Linked DNA regions of Kluyveromyces lactis. Each later gene encodes a partner of the first gene's protein in a complex. Links are inferred from orthologs where the notes say so. Each region holds a gene or a part of one and is shown in the gene's direction. Other genes may lie near its edges. The genes, in order: KLLA0_B02090g, DPB4 and ISW2.

The links.
Region 2: KLLA0_B02090g (region 1) and DPB4 share a complex: the UniProt entries of both Saccharomyces cerevisiae proteins name them as parts of the ISW2 complex. The link is inferred for Kluyveromyces lactis from reciprocal best matches to the Saccharomyces cerevisiae genes ITC1 and DPB4.
Region 3: KLLA0_B02090g (region 1) and ISW2 share a complex: the UniProt entries of both Saccharomyces cerevisiae proteins name them as parts of the ISW2 complex. The link is inferred for Kluyveromyces lactis from reciprocal best matches to the Saccharomyces cerevisiae genes ITC1 and ISW2.

What each region holds. Positions count from the first base shown.
Region 1 is NC_006038.1:182,528-186,676, forward strand, and holds the start of KLLA0_B02090g (uncharacterized protein), read left to right. Parts: upstream 1-1,190; coding exon 1,191-4,149. Other genes in the region: GTPase BMS1, read right to left, coding at 1-469. UniProt on the Saccharomyces cerevisiae protein: Functions as a component of the ISW2 complex, which acts in remodeling the chromatin by catalyzing an ATP-dependent alteration in the structure of nucleosomal DNA.
Region 2 is NC_006042.1:1,797,555-1,800,081, forward strand, and holds DPB4 (DNA polymerase epsilon noncatalytic subunit), read left to right. Parts: upstream 1-1,259; coding exon 1,260-1,910; downstream 1,911-2,527. Other genes in the region: TRM1 (tRNA (guanine26-N2)-dimethyltransferase), read right to left, coding at 1-688; NYV1 (Nyv1p), read right to left, coding at 2,017-2,527. UniProt on the Saccharomyces cerevisiae protein: As accessory component of the DNA polymerase epsilon (DNA polymerase II) participates in chromosomal DNA replication.
Region 3 is NC_006042.1:2,310,217-2,314,474, reverse strand, and holds the start of ISW2 (DNA translocase), read left to right. Parts: upstream 1-1,444; coding exon 1,445-4,258. Other genes in the region: KLLA0_F24860g (uncharacterized protein), read left to right, coding at 1-762. UniProt on the Saccharomyces cerevisiae protein: Catalytic component of the ISW2 complex, which acts in remodeling the chromatin by catalyzing an ATP-dependent alteration in the structure of nucleosomal DNA.

The sequences.
Region 1 (4,149 bases):
TCAAGAATTCCATGGTCTCCATTTCAAACCCGAAATTACCATCCATCATCAAAAGCACCAAATCGGCCACTTTTGAAATATCGATCATGGAATTCAAATCATCCGCAGGACATTCGATAAAAGTCAGCCTTCTACGCTTACCAGAAACAACAGTAATAGGACCGTTAATTTCGGATAAAGTGGTCTTTGTCAACCTTCTCACTAACGATTTGATCAAAGTAGTCTTACCGGTACCTGGAGGACCAACAACAGCAATAATGATCGGAGGAGGATCATCATCTGGGGTACGATCCACCATCGGAACATGCAACTTCTTCTCATTCTTATCACCCGTACGTTGCATCTGCTTAGCCATTTTCCCCGGAGCGGAGACAGCAAAGGCCTTAGCATTGTGGCCCTGAGAATGTAACTTCTTCTTGGCACCAGCCTTCTCCTTCCGCTTCCTATGTTCTTTATTCGATTGTTCCATTGCTGAAGCTTGAGAGTCTTAAGATGTATTCAGGCAATGTGATTCGAACTAACTGGCCTAAAGTGACCCTTTTGATTCAATTCAAGATACTAGAATCTTTTATGTTCACCGATGAGATGAGATGAGATGGTTGAGCTTCTTCATGCAATTTTTCATGCAGGGTAAGAAAAAGAAATGATCTGAACCTTGTCGATATCTAATCACGTGATTCTGCACGTGATCTGATTTTTAAGAATTTAAGGTATTCTGTCAGTTTTGTAGATATTCCTACATGTCTCTGCCGTAGTAACTAGGGCCCAAGGGCATATGGAAAAAAAAGCGTTCATCGAAATTCGAACATCAAAATGAAATCGAAATCCAATCAAATGCACAAACAGAACAGGATAGAACAAAGGTCAATGAATCAACGGTTGGATTCCGAATAAAAGTCGTTTGTTTCATTCGTTTCCCTAAAAGTTGTTGTGTTTTTTATCTTTAGTTCGTTTGTGTGGTGATTTGGATTTCACAACAAGAACTGTACGTTCTACACCAGTTATATTGTTGTGGATACGAGACAACATCTTTTGGTCATAGAAAACACATACTGTTCTTATTCTTTCCAATCTGTGTGCGTGTAATTTTTACTGAGTTGAAGCAGGAAAGCTAGGATAACAGAGTCTTCAGTGGTGTGTGTTTCCTTGTTGAGCTTTTTATTTTTTGGATAGAATACACAGTGTGAGCAATGGTTTTGTATAAAAGGAAAACGATAACGTTGCCAGATGCTAGGCCATTACCGTCAAATATCAATAGGAAAATATGGTACATTCAAGAGACAGGGGAATGGTTTTTGACTTATGCAGAGTTTTTGCAACGATTGGATTTTTATAGGCGACATTATTTCACCTGTGAGATCACTGGTACATCATGTTTAACTTTTTTTGAAGCGTTGAACAGTGAAGAAGAGCAGTTCCAATACGTTGAGAAAATGTTCCCTTTAAAATTACGTGAACCTGTTGCAAAATTCATCCATTTCAACGAGATTAGAAGGCTAGATATGCTCGTCGAACAGGTATATGCAAGATTTAAAAACGACTATTTCCCTGGAGAAACGGTATACCTACGGAAAAGTAAGCAAGATTCCTCACATGACGATGCTGAAAAACATCATCAGCACTCACATGGATCACAGCATCAAAAAATTTACATTATCAAAGAAAAGGCTCAGTTTAATGCAGTTATAGATAGAGATACAAGGCAAGAATTGGTTCCTGCCCATGCAAAATATATGTTACAGGAAGCACAAGGTAGTACTTCAATCGTTGCCGATGAGGATCAGATTTATCGTGATAGATCATGTTTCACTAAGCATTTGATTAAATGTTTCTGTAAGATAACGTTGCGTCGTGCTTCAACTAAGATGGGTGCCCCATGGTGTGTGAAAGATGAATATTTGCCCATCTATAATTTAACCTTAACGTGGCCAGAAAGTATGCTAAAATACAAGGAAGATTACGTAGATCCGCAGTATTTGCAACAACTTCAACACATGGCGGAACTTAATCGAGAAAGAGAAGCTTCGGCAGCCATTGGTGAGCATAAACGAGAAATTGAAATTGCTAGAACAGAAACACCAGATCAGAAAAGAATAAAAACTGAAGAACTGATATCTGAATCCTCACCTTCGGTTGACCATACCAGTAACGACAATAATCAAATAACCAATGGCGATCAACAAAGCATAACGCAAATCACTGAAGATTTGGAAATACCTTTCATGGCACCAAGGCCTTCAGCTATCAACGATGCACTTTTAAAATACTCTAAGGAGTATGTGCCAATCTCAAATTCTCTCGATAAACCATTTGCGCATGATATTGGTAAACTCCTTCATTGTTATCAGTTTTTAATGGCATTTAATGCGACCCTTCAACTTTCGGAATTTAGTTGGGATGATTTTGTAAATTCTTTGAGATTTACTGATCCGCGCCAAATGATGGACGAGTACGTAACGATTAGTTATGAGGACGGTACGGGTACTAAGGTGGAAAGAATTAATATCTGGAATGAATCGATATATAAATATATTGACTCTTCAAATTCAGAAAAAATGAAGTTCACCTTGTCCTTGGACACTATGATAAATGATGACTATTTGGACGAGTTGAAAATAACAGGTACTTCCTTGATAGTGGAGTGTTTTTGTTCACTGTTAAGGTTGTTCATAGACACCAGTGGGGATTGGACGACATTAGTCCCTTCGGAGTGGCTTGAGGAGGACACGGACGAAAATTCGAGTGAAAATGAAGATTTAGAGATGGAAGAAAACGACGAAGTTAGTGCTGATCTTGAATCGTTATTAGAGAAGTGTTTAAACTATCGAAAAGTAAAATGGACAGACAGGCTTTCTAAGAGGCAATTTAACAATGGTTTCTGGTTGATAGTTCTCTTAGGTGTTCTCCAAGACTTCATGCATTTACCAATGTATAAATCGACAATTCAAGGCTTCATCAAAAATCTGGTGCCGTCTGAGCACACCCCGTCAAATATTTCCTTGAATAGGTACTTATGGAGAAAGTTTTGCAAAGATATTTCTGTTGAGGAGAAAGTTAACATTATGTGGATATTAGTTGAAATATTGAGCAACTACTCATCAATAATAAGATCTGCAATGGATGATTCAATGGAACTTTGTAACCAAATTAGAAGTGAGAGGTTTAGATTGAATAGGGATCTTAAAGCATGTTCTAATACTGTTGCTGGACTAAAAGAACAATTTACAGTTTCTGAGTTGCAACAATCTGAGAGCAGTAATGATAATATCGAACTGAAAGAAAACCTAAAAAAAGCAACAGATCAACTGGAACGGTTCCAAAGGAGGAAAAGCTTTTTTGATGCTAGGTTGATTGAAGCTGATCTTCAAAGACTAAAACCCTTGGGATATGATAGATATGGTAACAAAATCTACTGGTTAGAATATTGCGGAGTTCCTAGGCCGAACATATTCTCGAAGGCTTCACACTTATTAAGCAATAGATTGTGGATCCAAGGACCTGTCAAAGAAGCTGTGCTATACTACTTCAAGATAACGGAAGAAGAGTACAATCAATGGATTTCTTTAGCTAACGAATTGGGTAAAATTCAAGCCACCAAACAGGTTTTCCATGTTTATCGCGATGAGAAAGGTTGTTATTTCCACTACGATAAAGAGGGAGATATCATGTTGATAAATGAAGAAGGTGTTTTCAATACGTTCATTGAACTTTCGCCACTTCAAAGAAAAATTATTGATGAGACACCGGAAGGTCTTTTGTTTACTCCTAATGACTGGATATTCTTGCAAGATCCTGAACAACTCATTTCGATGACTAATTGGTGGGACAGCTGGGGAAAACGAGAACATGAAACACTGAAACAGTTGCAATCAGTTATGGAGCCGGTGATAGAGACATTAAATCAATATAAGACTCAAGTTCAAGACGAAGTTACTGAAAAAAGAGAATTGTTACTGAAAGAGATTGCGGCTTTGGAAATAGCGGATAACGAATTAAGTGTAGATGATACAGTGGACGACAGAGATGAGTCTGATATAGAAGGCGAGTTAGAGAAGATTGCACAAGATATAATGGCTCTTGATGACTCATCTAAGACTCGTAAGATTCTTCTGAAACTGGAGCAACTCGAAGCACAGCGTGACGAGTTAT
Region 2 (2,527 bases), on another chromosome or scaffold:
GCATCAATCCACCATCTTCGATGGATTGCATTGATGCATCGACGAAAGGAGTAACGGTACCATATGGATCCAAATCAATTACATGGTATTTCTCATTTTTGCTTTTGTTTCTGTACATCAGCACATTTGCATCATCCAAATTGGGTACAACTTTATCCGAGACCTCATTATAGATGACATTTCTCTTTATGGATTCCACTGCCTCTGGTAGTAAATCGTTGGCTACAATAGTCTTCACATTAGGAACCTCCTTAGAATATCTTATAGCACGTAGCCCGGTTGCACTCAATGCTTCCAAAATTTTGATGTACGGCCTGGTAGAATGATCTTTTGAAGACACAGCTACAGAGTCTTGATCTTCGTTTAATTTACGCCTTTTGATAGTATCGTAATCGGAACCATCTTCATTGCTCTCTATGGGTTTCCTTTTCTTGTTCTTGCTCTTCAGTTCACGGCTTTCACGTTGTTCCTCTTGATACAGTTCATCCCATGCTTTGATACAAGTGACACTCAAATCTCTATTGAACTGCTGGATTGGATTATAGAACACAGTTTCCTTGTTAGGAAATAATATCTTAGCATCACCCTCTTGCACCACCTTGAACTGAGAAACATCGATCGTTGAGCTATCCAACGTTACTTTTCTGCCAAATTTTGACTTCAAACTTTGAAAGGCAGCCCTGAGCATATTGCAAGTTTAAATTCTTACTTTTCTTTATATGGTTTTGCTTTCCCTCCTAAAACAAACCAGCTGAAAACGCTTACTTGGCCTTTGACACACACCTCAGCGATTATTTACTAGGCCTGAGGATCAAGCTATATATCTTATCTTAAGTTGATTTCTGCGAGAAGAGATGTGATGAGATGCGATGCCCATGACTGAAAAAATTGAAAAGTTGGAAACTAGGCTGTAAAGATGTAAAAAGTATGGGAATCTATGTCACGTGATTTAATCTTTCTATTGTTTATTTGGCACGTACGATTAAGTACCTCAAGACGAAATGCATATGGTACACATGGTTCAGTATCGATATTAATCGAGGATATGATGACTAGTTCGAAGCAGACTATTAGCTGTTACTACTTCTATCTACTTTTTTTTAGCTTTCATTACTGTTCTCTTGGTGGAAGTAATATCATTATGCTTATAGTGAAATTTGTGCGTTTGCATTAAGATTTATTACCACTAATGATTCAAGAAAATAAGAACCATCAAATGAAAGAATTCACAAAACTCTAAGAGGCAAACAAGCGCGGGTATGCCACCAAAAGGTTGGAGAAAGGATTCTGAAGGAAATTATCCTAATACGTCTTATATAAAAGAACAAGAAAAGATCAGTATTGATGATTTACTATTTCCTAAAAGCATAATCACATCTCTAGCGAAGGAATCACTTCAGAACGCGTTTCAAAAGGGCGAAGAAGAGAGAAGAATCACGGTTAGTAAGGATGCTGCATTGGCAATGCAGAGGTCAGCGACAGTCTTTGTCAATCACTTATTAATGTTTGCTAGAATGAACGCAAAGGATTCTAATAGAAAGAGTTGTAATGATCAGGATATCATGGCTGCTTTAGATACGTTGGGGCTAGGTGCTTTGGAGAGCATACTCACGGGAAAGATGCAGGAGTACCAGGAAGCCATACTTTGGAAGAAGCAAAATAAAGTCAATAATGCTGTGCCTGGTGCGGACGGAGACATAGCAATGGAAGATGATGAAGATGATGAAGATGACGATGGCAGAGAAGGCGCAGATGCTGACGCCGAGCCTAAATCCAGAGCTGATACTGAGGTTCAACAAGGTAACGCTGAAAATGATAAATTAGATGGGCCTCCAGTCAACCAAGAACAAGTACCTAGCACGCGCCAGAACGACCTGGATTTAAGCACAAAAAAACAGAAGACGGAATGATCGTATAATCGATTTGTGGAGAAGAGGTGGCAAGAAGTATAAGTACTATAAACAATTATACCGTTTTCGTGTGCTCATGGGTTACCTATACTTAAAAAAAATAGAACTAATGTAGTAATAATAACGACACAATCACAATAATCGCCAGTACAACTATAATGACAATGGAATAAAACTTAACGTTATTCCACCACATTTTTCTCATAATCTTAGAGGATTTCCTTTGAAATTTAAAACTATTTTCGTTCAATTGATTAGTATTATCCACAAGCAGGGATATCCTTTCCTGTCTCTGTAAAAACTTATCGATATTATCATTCATTATTGCAATAATGTTTTGTAGCTCTTCCTCAGTGGATGCAGCTGTCTGCTGTCCTTCCGTGCGATAAGATAATAATTCTTCATGGAATTTGTCCAATTGATTATCGATATTACTCTTCAAATATTCATCGTTGTCATTATTCAAACATTTTAGTTCTGATAATAACCTCAACGGTAGGAATTTGGGGACTTCTTCTTTAACAAAACAAATGAGCACTTTATTGTTCTCTGCAGTTGTATAATAGCAATCATACCCCTCTATAAGGTCGATAGACGTCTTTGTAACTTTGTTTCCC
Region 3 (4,258 bases), on another chromosome or scaffold:
AGGTTACTGGTTCGCAAAAATAGTTCAGAACATTCATTCCCTGCTCTTGGTGAAACGACTAACAAGTCAAATAGTACCGTCAAGATAAAAATAAAGAAGGAAACTCAAAAAGAGAAAATTAAACGGATGGCTGAGGAAGCCAAATTCCAGGAGAAGCCAAATGAAGACAAGACTAAAGTTTGGGGCCAACATATGAGGAAGTCCCCGTTAACAAACAAACAATCAACAAAAGTGACTGTATCTTCGGAGGTAAAAAATCTTTCAGGTGTAAAGCCAGCTTCGACCAAATTTCCAACGTTGCATGAAGCTGTGAAAAACGGGAAAAAGCCAACAGGTATGGTCGCAATTTCGGGTGACGGTACGAAGCAAACTATGCCATTATATGCCTCTACCAAGAGTAACTTATCCTGGGTCGCTAAGGAAACGACACCCACACCAACAAAATCTATTCAGGAAGCTTTGGAGGAAGCAAAATTTTTGAAGTGGTGGAATGAAGAATCACAAAGGATACAAGCCCAACAAGCGGCGTCGGAGATGCTAATGGGAATGGAGACCGGAATCCCATCTTCGAAGCCTGGTTCCCTTAAAAAATCTTCTTCGATACAATCTAATGGTAAACGCAAAAGTAAATCAGCGGATAAATCTATGCGTGGAAATAACACATCCAAAATATCGACAAATCAACCTGAAAAGCATGATCAGACATCCAATACGAGTAACAATCGAAGAAGAAGTTGCACAAATCCAAATAGACAATCCTAAATACATGTTATAGAGCATACCAAATCTCGCTAAGTGGTATAATTCAGAGCAACAATCGGTACTAAAAAAGGCAGCTGAACCACTTAATCAGTATGCGCTTGATATCGTTCTTGATCACATATGTGATCTTACAAGTTATGTATATCTATATCAACTTAATCGTGTAAATATTAAATGGTCATGTTCTACTTATTCTGCGCTTTGTACTAATGGTAGATGCAAGGCTAATCACATTCTGCCACGCTTTGTTCTTTAAAGTCAATGAGACTACTCTGAGGTATGTCCGTTCTGAGATCATGTATTATCATCATTTTCCACGCGGTTTGTTGTCCTAGCGATTTGAAAAAATGTAAATTTCCAAAAAATAATGAGTTGTGACTATCCACACTCCACTAAGAAACCTATGGATATCGAATTCTCTGTTGCCATCCTATCATCATCGATCAACATTGCCTACAATGGTTGAGGAAGAGGTATGCTAAATGTCTTTATGTTCAACTGTACTTCAATGGTTACTGATAATATCTGTCATGAACTTCGGTGCTTCTCCCCGTTGAGTTTATCAACGTATTAGGATGACAGTAATCACTAGAAGCACATAACAACTTCACACTTGGGCGGACCTCTGCATAAGATACTAACCACCTTTATCTAAAAATACTCATAGAAATCTGCTACAAAAATGGAGAATCCTGTTAGCAATAATCAACATGATGAGAAGTACTGGTCCGAAAGAAGATCTAAGTTCTTACTTGATGTTGATCCGAAAATAGCTAAACAAAGGAATAAAGAAGACACTTATATTCGCTTCAAGCACCTTTTGCAAATTACTGATCTTTTCAGACACTTTATTGGGATCAGAGCCAAATATGATAAAAACATGCAAAAATTACTGAAGACCATAGATGCTGAAAACAAAGTTGCTGGAACGTTGAAAGAGCCAGCCGGTCATCTCGCTAGGGCTCCAAGGCACTATAGAAAGACAGAACAAGAAGAAGATGCTGAATTGATGGAGGATGAGGAAGTTGAGTTAGAAGAGGATACAACAATTTTGACACAATCACCGAGTTTCATAAAGGAAGGGAAATTAAGAGATTATCAAGTTTACGGTCTGAATTGGTTGATTTCTCTACATGAAAGCAAGCTTTCTGGGATTTTGGCTGATGAAATGGGACTTGGTAAAACGTTGCAATCAATATCGTTCCTAGGTTATCTTCGGTATATTAAAGGTATCGAGGGGCCATATATTGTGATTGTACCTAAATCCACACTAGATAACTGGCAAAGAGAGTTTGCCAAATGGACTCCTGAAGTCAAAACAGTCATTCTTCAAGGTGACAAGGATTTCAGAAAAGAACTCATTGAAACTAAGATTTTAACATGTAACTTTGACGTGCTAATTACCTCTTATGAGATGGTATTGAAAGAGAAGTTAACACTTAAAAGATTTGCATGGGAATATATTCTAATCGACGAAGCTCATCGAATTAAGAATGAACAGAGCGCCTTGTCACAGGTGATAAGACTGTTTTACTCCAAAAATCGTCTCTTAATCACTGGTACACCTCTACAGAACAATTTGCATGAACTTTGGGCTCTTTTGAATTTCTTACTACCTGATGTCTTTGGTGACTCAGAAGTATTTGATGAATGGTTCCAACAAAACGGAAAGGAAGAAGATCAAGAGGTTGTTGTTCAGCAACTTCATTCGGTTTTACAACCTTTTTTACTTAGAAGAGTGAAATCTGAGGTCGAAAAATCATTACTTCCGAAGAAAGAGATTAATCTATACGTAGGGATGACGGACATGCAAATAGAATGGTACAAATCACTATTGGAGAAAGACATCGATGCCGTAAATGGAGCCGTCGGTAAGCGAGAAGGTAAAACAAGATTATTAAATATTGTTATGCAGTTGAGAAAGTGTTGCAATCATCCATACCTTTTCGAAGGAGCAGAACCTGGCCCTCCTTATACTACAGATGAACATTTAGTCTTCAATTCGGGAAAAATGATTGTACTTGATAAATTGCTAAAAAAGAAAAAGGAACAAGGCTCGAGAGTCCTTATATTTTCACAAATGTCACGGTTGCTAGATATTTTAGAAGATTACTGTTATTTCAGGGGATATGAATACTGCAGAATTGATGGCTCAACTTCGCATGATGAAAGAGTTGAAGCTATTGATGAGTATAATAAACCAAATTCGGAAAAATTTATTTTTTTACTTACTACTCGTGCTGGAGGATTGGGTATTAACTTAGTGACAGCCGATACTGTTGTACTCTATGATTCCGATTGGAATCCACAGGCCGATTTACAAGCCATGGATCGTGCTCATAGGATTGGTCAAAAAAAACAGGTGTTTGTGTATAGATTCGTCACCGAAAATGCAATTGAAGAGAAAGTGATAGAGAGGGCTGCTCAAAAACTTAGATTAGACCAGTTGGTAATTCAGCAGGGTACAGGAAAGAAGACTTCGGCGCTGACGAACAACAAAGATGACCTAATTGATATGATACAATTTGGAGCAAGAGATATGCTTCAGCATGGCTCTGGTAATATAACTGTTGATGAAGACATTGATGAAATTTTGAAAAAGGGTGAGAGAAAGACATTGGAACTTAATGCAAAATATGAATCTCTTGGTCTCGATGACCTACAAAAGTTCAATGGTATGGCTGATCAATCCGCTTACGAATGGAATGGAACAAATTTTGAGAAGAAGAAGCCAGATGATCATACTGTTGATTGGATCAATCCGCCTAAAAGAGAGCGTAGACGAGAACAGCCTCTGTATTCAGTGGATGATTATTATAGAGAAGTTATAGGTAATGGAAAGAGCAAACCTTCAGGAAGCAACACCCCAGCTCTGAAATTACCAAAACAACCTAAAGTTATTCGTATGACTTATTATCAGTTTGCACATCCAGAATTTGTCCGGCTACAGGAGCTAGAACAACTTTGGTATAAGAAAAGTGTCGGATACAAAATCACCGCATATGATGTTAAAGAACACGCAGATGAAAGTGAGGGTGACGATGATGACGAAGAGGATTCCAGATCGGACGGAGAATCAGATGATACTAACAATGCACAAAAACAAGAAGATGATATTGACGCTAAGATTGCTGAAGAGCAAGCAAAAATTGACGCTGCTGAAGAATTCACTGATGAAAATTTGGAACAAAAGCAAAGATTCCTGGAAGAATCTTTCTATAATTGGAATAAACGTGAATTTTTAGCCTTCATCAGTGCATGCATAAAATTTGGTAGAGACAATTATGTTTCAATATCCAAAGCAATTCATACGAAAACGCCAGAGGAAGTTCAGAGGTACTCTGAAACGTTTTGGAAACGCTACAAGGAAGTCCAAGGATGGGAGAAGTATGTCGCAAACATCGAAGCTGGTGAAAAGAAGACTGAAAAGCTAAAGATACAGGAAACAATTTTGAAGCAGAAGCTTCAGCAATATCAGTATCCCTTAGTAGAATTG